2 linked regions of the Daphnia pulex genome follow. The protein of the gene in region 2 purifies or fractionates together with the protein of the main gene of each other region. This does not show direct contact. Links are inferred from orthologs where the notes say so. Each region holds a gene or a part of one and is shown on either strand. Other genes may lie near its edges.

Evidence for each region. The genes of interacting proteins can lie anywhere in the genome.
Region 1: the proteins of homeotic protein deformed-like (region 2) and homeobox protein extradenticle-like fractionate together in Drosophila melanogaster (co-fractionation; 4 studies listed by BioGRID). This does not show direct contact. The link is inferred for Daphnia pulex from reciprocal best matches to the Drosophila melanogaster genes Dfd and exd.

Annotation. Positions count from the first base shown.
Region 1 is NC_060023.1:11,355,801-11,360,401, forward strand, and holds homeobox protein extradenticle-like, read left to right. Parts: upstream 1-1,625; 5' UTR 1,626-1,712; exon of another isoform or gene 1,713-1,802; intron 1,803-2,059; 5' UTR 2,060-2,135; coding exon 2,136-2,306; intron 2,307-2,368; coding exon 2,369-2,510; intron 2,511-2,575; coding exon 2,576-2,826; intron 2,827-2,916; coding exon 2,917-3,107; intron 3,108-3,182; coding exon 3,183-3,318; intron 3,319-3,386; coding exon 3,387-3,486; intron 3,487-3,565; coding exon 3,566-3,717; intron 3,718-3,784; coding exon 3,785-3,844; 3' UTR 3,845-4,599; downstream 4,600-4,601. Other genes in the region: surfeit locus protein 1-like, read left to right, coding at 316-357, 419-508, 580-704, 767-952, 1,004-1,177, 1,234-1,447. UniProt on the Drosophila melanogaster protein: Transcription factor which acts with the selector homeodomain proteins altering the regulation of downstream target genes such as wingless (wg), teashirt (tsh) and decapentaplegic (dpp), thus affecting segmental identity.
Region 2 is NC_060024.1:12,446,691-12,451,334, forward strand, and holds the start of homeotic protein deformed-like, read left to right. Parts: upstream 1-1,559; 5' UTR 1,560-3,019; coding exon 3,020-3,962; intron 3,963-4,165; coding exon 4,166-4,632; 3' UTR 4,633-4,644. UniProt on the Drosophila melanogaster protein: Sequence-specific transcription factor which is part of a developmental regulatory system that provides cells with specific positional identities on the anterior-posterior axis. Homeotic protein controlling Drosophila head development.

The sequences.
Region 1 (4,601 bases), on a different chromosome or scaffold from region 2:
TGCTTAAGCACGGACTCTGTATTTAAAATTGAACAAAACCTTATTGAAAAGGCTATTTTTAGATTTAATATAATGTAGCTTTTTTTAGACTTTTGTAGGTCATACGCTATTTTGATCTCTTTTTTTAAATGAAAAAAAAATCGCAAATATCCCTTCGGGTACCTTGCTAACGCAGGTAGCTGACAATTCACCATAGGTTTATCTGAAAATGCGCTAGGTGTCTCTGATCGTTCAAGTGTTATTCAAAAACTCTTCTGCACTTTTTTTGTGAAGACCTTTTCTTTTCCTAAAGAGATTAAATTGAAATTGATTACAATGCTCAGTTTAAGGCATTTTCAGAAAATTAGAAGAATTAAGGTAATTTGGTTTATAGCTTCAAAACTGTGTTTTTCAACATTCATTTTCTGCTACTATTCAGACATGTACACAAAATTACGTAAGACGATCAGCCTCAAGCTATGGGCAAAGAAATGCTGTAGATATCGGAATTCACGGTTATTCGTTATTGGTAAGATAATCGATTTTAAAAATAAAACGTACATATAGTTCTTTAACAAAAAATTGATCCAATAAATGTAGGCTATTCCAGCCATCACTTTCGGCCTTGGGACCTGGCAGATTTTCAGACGTCAGTGGAAACTTGGTGTTATTGATCATCTTGCCAGCAGAACGTCTGCACCACCAATTCCATTTCAGTCTACAGAGTGAGACTGATACAATTCTTTAACTCTACCCTTTTATGCATATTTACACCAATGCTCTACAGTATTGAAGGGCTATCTGACATGGAATACCGGAAGTTTGAACTCCATGGAAAATTTGAACATGACAAAGAGATTTACATTGGGCCAAGATCACTGGTTGGAAATGAAAAAAATGAAGGTGGTGGGATGTTGTCTTCAGGGCAGAGTGGCTATTTAGTCATCACTCCATTTAAACTATCAGATTCCAAGTAAGACATTCAAACAGTTAATTTTCTCAATTTTCTACAAGTTACTTTTAGTCTCACAGTTCTTGTAAACCGCGGATGGATTCCTCGTAAAAAAATGAATCCATTCACCAGACTAAATGGACAAAGAGAAGGCGAAACAAAACTGATTGGAGTGTACCGCTCTAATGAAAATCGCCCCCAGTTTGTACCCCAAAATCAGCCCAAAGACCGCATGTTTCATTTCAGGTAAAGACAATTATATTTTTCGCAAAGTTAGATAACTTCATATATATTGCGTACAGAGATGTGGAGGGAATGGCTCGGCTTCTAGACACTGCGCCAATTTTCTTTGACGCGGACGCTGATAGCACAGTACCGGATGGACCTGTAGGTGGACAAACAGTTGTTACTGTTAGAAATGAACACGTTTCGTACATTTTAACGTGGTATTCATTATCAATTATCACAGCATTTTTGTGGCATCGACGATTTATCAAGAAAATGCCTCTTATGTAACTTAAATGTATTTATCTTCATAGAGGTTAAAGTCAAATTAATACATTTTAACATCAAACATCATTATATTTTTACTCTTGTTGCGTTTTCATTTGTAAAAATAAAATTTTAATTAATAAAATTCAAAATAAAAAATAAATACAGTATCGCGAGTTTCTAGTACATCGATTATTGGCTTACCCGATATAATTATCGATACTTACCTTTGTGATCGCGTTCTCGCGTCTTTTTTGCTTTGTCCCGTCGATAATCTCGGCGATCTCTGGTAATTATTTTATGAGCCTTTGAGAAATGTGATTCAGTCTGTTTGAATACTAAACAACTCGTGAATTCCCGGTTTCAAATTGTGTGTCAAGTCAGTAAAGAAAGTTTTTATTCTAATTGAAAGAAATACGCTACGCAAGCAAACTTCTCTTCCATGGCGGACGCTTGTCGCCTTGGGCATTTTATAAGACGTTGGCATTTTTATATTAACCGAAGCCAATTTTTGTTATTTACGATTGCTTTCTTGCAATACTAGTGCTTTGTTGTGTCTAGTACATTTCATTTTATGTTTACATTTCATGAAATCACATGTATGGATGTTAGTAAACGGAAAGTCATTGTTTACAGGGTCTTTATTGCCAGGTCCTGTAGCCTGAAGGCAATACGTTTTGTGCAGTGACATTGGAAGATTTCATTGCTTTTGATGGATGATCCAAATCGACTTATGCATCCTGTTCCAGGTGGCCAGGTTGGACTAATGCATCAGCCACCGTATGGGTTACCTCCTGTCAATGTCGGAGTCAATGTTGGGGTTAACATGGCTTCACTTGATGGAGGGAACCAAGACTCTGAAAATATGACTGGACGAAAGCAGGTGTGTACAATTCCATTTCCAAAATCTTTTTTTCCTTTTAAGTAAAACTTCTTTTTTTTTAGGATATTGGAGAAATTCTGCAACAGATCATGAACATCACAGACCAGAGTCTTGATGAAGCCCAAGCACGCAAGCATACCCTGAACTGTCATCGCATGAAACCTGCTTTGTTTTCTGTCTTGTGTGAAATCAAAGAGAAAACTGGTAACCCTATTTCAATATGAATCCAAGTGATTGAATGGTAACATTAAATTGTGCTCTCACTTTAGTTTTGTCGCTACGCAACACGCAAGAAGAGGAGCCTCCAGATCCGCAACTCATGCGGTTGGATAACATGTTGATTGCTGAAGGAGTAGCTGGTCCTGAAAAAGGAGGTGGGGCCGGTGCTGCTGCCAATGCATCAGCTGCAGCGTCTCAAAGCGGCTCAATGTCGGACTCGGCTATTGAACACTCTGATTATAGGGCTAAGTTGGCACAAATTCGTCAAATTTACCATCAAGAGCTTGAGAAATATGAGCAGGTACACATTTTTAGCAATGCTTATTTTTTTATTGGACCTCTATGACAAGAAAATGGAGAATAACCATTTCATTTTTACATCCGCTTTCAGGCTTGCAGTGAATTCACCACCCATGTTATGAATTTGCTCCGAGAACAATCCCGTACTCGTCCGATTACACCCAAGGAGATTGAGCGGATGGTTCAGATCATTCATCGCAAGTTTAGCTCCATCCAAATGCAGCTGAAGCAAAGCACTTGCGAGGCCGTTATGATTTTACGATCTCGTTTCCTCGACGCCAGGTAAATTTTGCTATTTTTTTAAGGTTTGACCACGCCCATTAAAGGTGTTGTTCTATCGATGTCTTCATCATGTAGGAGGAAGCGGCGTAACTTCAGCAAACAAGCTTCTGAGATCTTGAATGAGTACTTCTACTCGCACCTAAGCAACCCCTACCCAAGTGAAGAAGCCAAAGAAGAGCTCGCTCGTAAATGTGGGATCACCGTTTCACAGGTTAATTTCTTTTTAAATCCTTTTAAGAGGAATAAGCGCATTAATGTTTTGTTATTTTTACAAAAAAGGTTTCGAATTGGTTCGGTAACAAACGAATTCGTTACAAGAAAAACATTGGAAAAGCCCAAGAGGAGGCCAACCTGTATGCTGCTAAAAAGGCCGCGGGTAGTTGTTTCCACTCTGAGGATTTTCAAATCCTCGTATTACCGGAGCGATTCTAATTTTCGTACTTTTTCTTTCTCGTTAGGTTCCTCGCCATACAGTATGGCTGGAACTCCCGGACCGATGATGTCGCCTCAACCTGGTGGTCCTGAACTCAGGGGTCCACAAGATTCCTTAGGCCCGTACGGTGCTATGGGACTCAACGGTGGTGACTTTCCTTCCTCCATGGGCGGCCAAGTAAACTACTTTTAATGACTTAACTAGTGGTATCTCAGCATATTAATTAATGTAAACGTGTTTGTAGGGCTATGGCGATTCATCGATGGGTTATGATCCAAGTATGCATCAAGTGAATTCACCCTGAGGGGTGGACGAGTGCCCCTTCTCCTCCTCCACCCTATTTCTCGGCAAATCAACTCTTAATTTACTAACTTCATCAGATCTTGATCATACTGTGCGTTACAAGCTATCTTCAGCTGTTCGATTAACTCGTTCTAACCCATCTCGTACTCCTTCTTTTGTCCCTTCCTCTCAGTGCAGCTTTGTTGTTTCGTCTTGATAGAAAATGTTTCTGTGGATCACCTCGATCGGTGCTTGTTTTTTCTCATTTGTTTCAGAAACCTCTGTAGTTTTAATCGCTTTTGCGTATAGTTGAAACCGTCGATGTAGTCGTTATCGTTTTTATTTGACAACTAGAAGTGAACCGAACATCTCCGATTACAATCACGTACGCTCTCCCGTCACCGAAAAAACGATCATCAGTATTCTCGAAAATCCACATCCCACGGACCCGAGTCCTATTTCTAAAAAAACAAAAAAAACACAAGAATTCCCATCAAGTTTGCGTTTTAACTGAAAAAAAATACTTTTCTTTTGATATGGTGGTGGAACCGAATGCAATTTTTGGTATTAGAATATTTTGCAGTTCCTCCTCTGTCCTATAAAAAAAATGACTGGCGCTTTGAAGTGAAGCTCAAAATATTTCTTTCTCGTTGGTACGTTTTTATATTATTTTCCACTAATCCGTGTCTCCTTTTTAAACACTATATTCATCTGTTCACCGCGCAAATCCTTGCCATGAAATCATGTACAACCAATACATCCATTTCTAGGTGTCAACG
Region 2 (4,644 bases):
ATGAAAAAGAGAAAAAAAAAAGGAAATTGTTTTCTTTACCCCTTTGAGTCGGCTATCTAACCTTTCGTATATGGAGCGATATGATGATGATATTTCATAGCGTTTGTCTGCCCTTGACTGAAAAATAAACGAGAAACAACACCAGACGGACAGACGGACGGTTCGATAAATCGGGTGCTGCTACACAGTGCGTGTAGTATAGAACTCGGCAAAAGCAAACGGCACAACAACGGCGTCGGGGGGTTCTCTCTCTCTCTTTCTCTCTCTATCTCTCTCCTCTTTGGCGCATTGGCGCGGGCATCATTAATCATTACGCCAGGCGCATGACGCGGCTGGATTTTTTAAGAACCCGCTCGCTAGCGGAAAACGCATACAGCCGCCCCCCTCTTCTTTCATTCGTTCTCTTATTTTTTTTTCCCTTCTTTCCTTTTCTGTCTGACTTTCTTTTCTTTTTTTCTTCTTCTTCTTTCTTCTTTTTCTTTCCCCTTTTTGTGGATATTTGTCCGCCATCAGTTGCTGGGCTCAGGAAGACGAGGAACGTCGCGAGTTCTGCACTATTCATCTCGCCAAAAACTGGATTCACAGTCAGTGGGGGGAAAAGAAAACTTTTCTACGGAAGGGATTTTAATAAAAAAATAGGACGGTCTTTTTTAAGTCAAAAACGCCCAAAACAAAGTTGAATCAATTTATGCGAGGCGTTGCCGAAAAATGGTGGAATCGGCCAAAAGCCCCCGACAAACTCGTCATCGTCCCTCTCGAGCTTTTTTTGTTTTCCCGTTCGAATTCAAAATGGCCTATCGAATGAGTAACTGATAAAAGCAGAAACGATAAAGGGGAAGAAAAAATGAAAGGGGGATGAAGAATAACAAGGTGGCGGCTGGGCATAACACGGCAATAACCGCGTGAAACATACACACAACAGACAAAGAGCCTAGAGATAAGAGTCTCGGCTAGAAAAGATAGAGGAGGTTGTTGCTGGAAAATAGACAAACTCGGGCCCACCGTTTCTCAGTCACTAATTGGAATTCAGTCGGTGTAGAACGGACAGCCTTTCTTCCGTGCCGCCCGTGAGTTTCCAGTACCGCAAAAAATAAAAAAAAACCAACAGGAAAAGTAGAAAAACAAAAATAAAGATAGGTATAGCAAAACCGAAAACCCCACCAAAAGAAACCAGATTTATTTCGGAAGTGTCAAAAACACACAAGAGTTGATTGTGTTCTTTCCAGTCGAGCTGAAAACAAATGACGTTTGCCGACCGATCCCGCCTAGTTTCTCGGTCAGGAAAAAGAAAAAATACAGAAATCCGGAAAGGACTTTCCAAGGAGACTCGTTGGTGTATTTCCGTGCTCCTCCACCTTGTCTCTCAATGCACCACATCGTCGTGGAAATTGTCTCCCACCCACCCTTTCCAACATCATTAGCGCCACAATGTTGCCGGGGCCGGAATTGTCGCTGGCCAGCAAAGACACACACACACCAAAAGGGTTGCGCTGCTGCTGCGCCGTGGCACCCCCCTATTTTTCTTCCCTATCCGACCGAGTGGCACAAACATCTTCCGAGGGTGTCGGTAGCGGGCCAAGACGACTCTCTTTCCACTGGCATGGAACCGGACTAGTCGATCGTTCACCGTCGACCAGGTCTGAAGTGAACAGTGTCAGCCCTCGACCAGCCGAAAAAAAAAGAAAATAAAAAGAAACTTTCTCGATCATCAAACACTCGTGTCCGAGCGATCCATTAACCATCGGCGGTATAGGAGCGAAAGAAAAACGAGTGAACAAAAATACAAAAGAAGAAATTTTGCCGGTGTCCATCCATTTCCTTTTTCGGTCCGGCAAAACAGTAGGTAGTGGTGAAACGGACAACAAGAGGTGAAACACGATAATTGAAATAGACATCTCTCTCTCTCTCTATTTTTGTGTTAAAAAAGTGCACAGCTGCCATTGTCAGCGAGAGATCCGTGGTGCGTGTCGACACCAAACACGGCAGTATTCGTGTCAGAATGAAGCGCAACTGACAGAGTGACAAGGGAGAGGAGGAAAAAGTGGATGTTCGCCCAAGACATCCGAGGGTGTGTCAAGTCGTGTGACATCGCGGACGCTGCCGGCGCACCAGCAGCAGCACCGACCATCGCGCTAAAAGCTCTCAACAAACAAAACATCAACCCGTAGCGGGTCGTAATACTACTCTCCTCATTACCCAACCAATCAGCTCCAGCTGCGTCTGTCTCATCACACAAAAAATCGACCGGGAACAAAAAGCTTCTGCCCCCCTGCAGTCGCCATTGAAACTTTTTCGACAATCATTTCAATTCATTCAGCTTTCAACAAGATTTCCATTTCGCTTGATCTTTAGACTATAAGACCCGGGGTTCACTTTCGGAAGACATCAGCCGCTAGAGGCGCATGTGCCCAACTTGTGTGTGTGTGAGGACTTTCTCTGAGCAAATCATCGATCACATCCGCCGCCGGCTGCGCCGGGTTGGGGGAAAAGCTCTTTTTTGGATCACTACCACCAGACCAGGGCTCCTCTTTTCCAGTGTTCCCTCCCACTCTCTCTCCCTCCCCTACCCCGACACACCCGCTACCCCGTGTGAGTTAAGAGCGTAGAGAGAAGTCGAGGACATCGGCGATTGGTCGACAGGGCCGAGGTCACGTGGCTCGTCCTTCCCCCAACGGGAGGTGGAGCCCCCCGCCAGTTATTTGCTCCAGTCCGCATCGACTCTCTGGCACTGGCACTGGGCACTATAAGCACAAGACATCAACCAGCAACGCGGGCCGGCTGCGAGGAACAAGAAGAGCGCGGACACACGACAATCGAGTGAAGAGTGAAACACAGACAAGACATCAGAGTTAGTTACTAGTGAGTGGCCGTCGCCTCCGAATCACATGAGTTATTGGTTAGTTTCGTCACGAAAATAAATTAAAAAATAGTGACGACTCAATTTCGTATTGACACACAAGAGTCCCAGTCAACATCATCATCATCATCTCCTTGTGTCAATCAGTGGAAGGTAGAATTGATGATCGCCATGAGTTCGTTCTTGATGAACTCCGGGTCGTCGCAGTACGTCGTCGACCCAAAGTTCCCGCCGAGTGAGGAGTACAGTCAGAGCAGTTACATTCCGGCGGCCGTGTCCAGTGACTACTATGTGCCTCACCACCAAGTCCAGCACTACCACGGCTACCACGGGCACCACACGCATCACCACCACAACGGAACTCATCCGTCGTCCGTCACCTCGGCCGCTTCCATGGGCTATTACGGCCAGCATCCCAGTCACGGGGGAGCGGTTGTCAGCGCTGGCGGATATCACGGCGGAGGAGCCTACGGAGCCAACGGAGCGTGCGGAATCGCTGGCACTGGCCAGCAAGTCCAAGTGCCCATGACTGGGCATGTCGCCCCGACTCTAGGCCATCACCATCAGCACCAGCCGCAACAGCAACATCAGCAGAGTCCGGGAATGATTCAACGATCGCCCGCTCCCTCGCCAACGCCTTCGTTGACGTCCATGGTGACCTGCCCGTCCCAGCAGCTCGGGGCCCAACAACAGCAGACCCTTGGACACCAGCAGCTTCAGCTTCAGCACCAACACGTCCAGCAGCAACAACAACAACCTCTTCACCAGCAACAACTCAATTCCAGTCATTTACAACAGCAGCAACAACAACAACAGCAGAGTCACGGTGTCGTCGGCGGTGGTGGTGTCGTTTCACAGGCATTGATGCAGCATGACCAGCTGTCCCATCTCGGCTCTATGGTGGCTGCTCAGCAGGCCAACGGCCAGCAGCAACAGCTGCAAACACAGACGCAGATCCAGCAGCAAAATAACGCCCTGCAATTGTGCCAGCCACCGACGCCCAATAGCCCCGAATCCGATTGCGATGACGGGTCCGACATGTCCGACGACTCTCACAATCCCGTCATTTACCCGTGGATGAAAAAGATTCACGTCGCCGGAGCACGTAAGTTATTGCCATCCTTTTCGTACCACTTCAAAAAATTCAATTTGATTCTACCGACCCAATTATGTGTTTGTTTAAACCATAATTAGGCCTAAAAAAAAGTTTTCAATCAAAATGTTGATTACATCTCTAGTGATAAGATAAATTCCTGCACGATTCCGAATAGAACTGTATCACACACTATTTGCCTGTGTTTCATATAGCATCGTTGTCTGATGGTTTCCTAGCCAACGGAGGATTCACGCCGGGAATGGAACCCAAACGACAGCGAACAGCCTACACTCGCCACCAGATTCTCGAGCTGGAAAAAGAATTCCATTTCAATCGCTACCTGACGCGGCGCCGTCGGATCGAAATCGCCCACAGCCTCTGCCTGTCCGAGCGCCAAATTAAAATCTGGTTCCAAAACCGGCGCATGAAGTGGAAAAAGGACAACAAATTGCCAAACACGAAAAACGTTCGCCGGAAGACCAATCCGGCCGGAGTCACGACGACAGCCACCGGCGTGCCCATCATCACGACGGCGGCCAATAACACAACGACCACCAGCACGCCGACCCCCACCGGTAATTCGCAATCGTCCAATCCGCCCAGATCCAACGAGACGCCCACGTTTCAGGATTGCGGAATTCTAAACATTAAACCCGACTACGGTCTCACCAATCTCTAATTTGAAATAGTC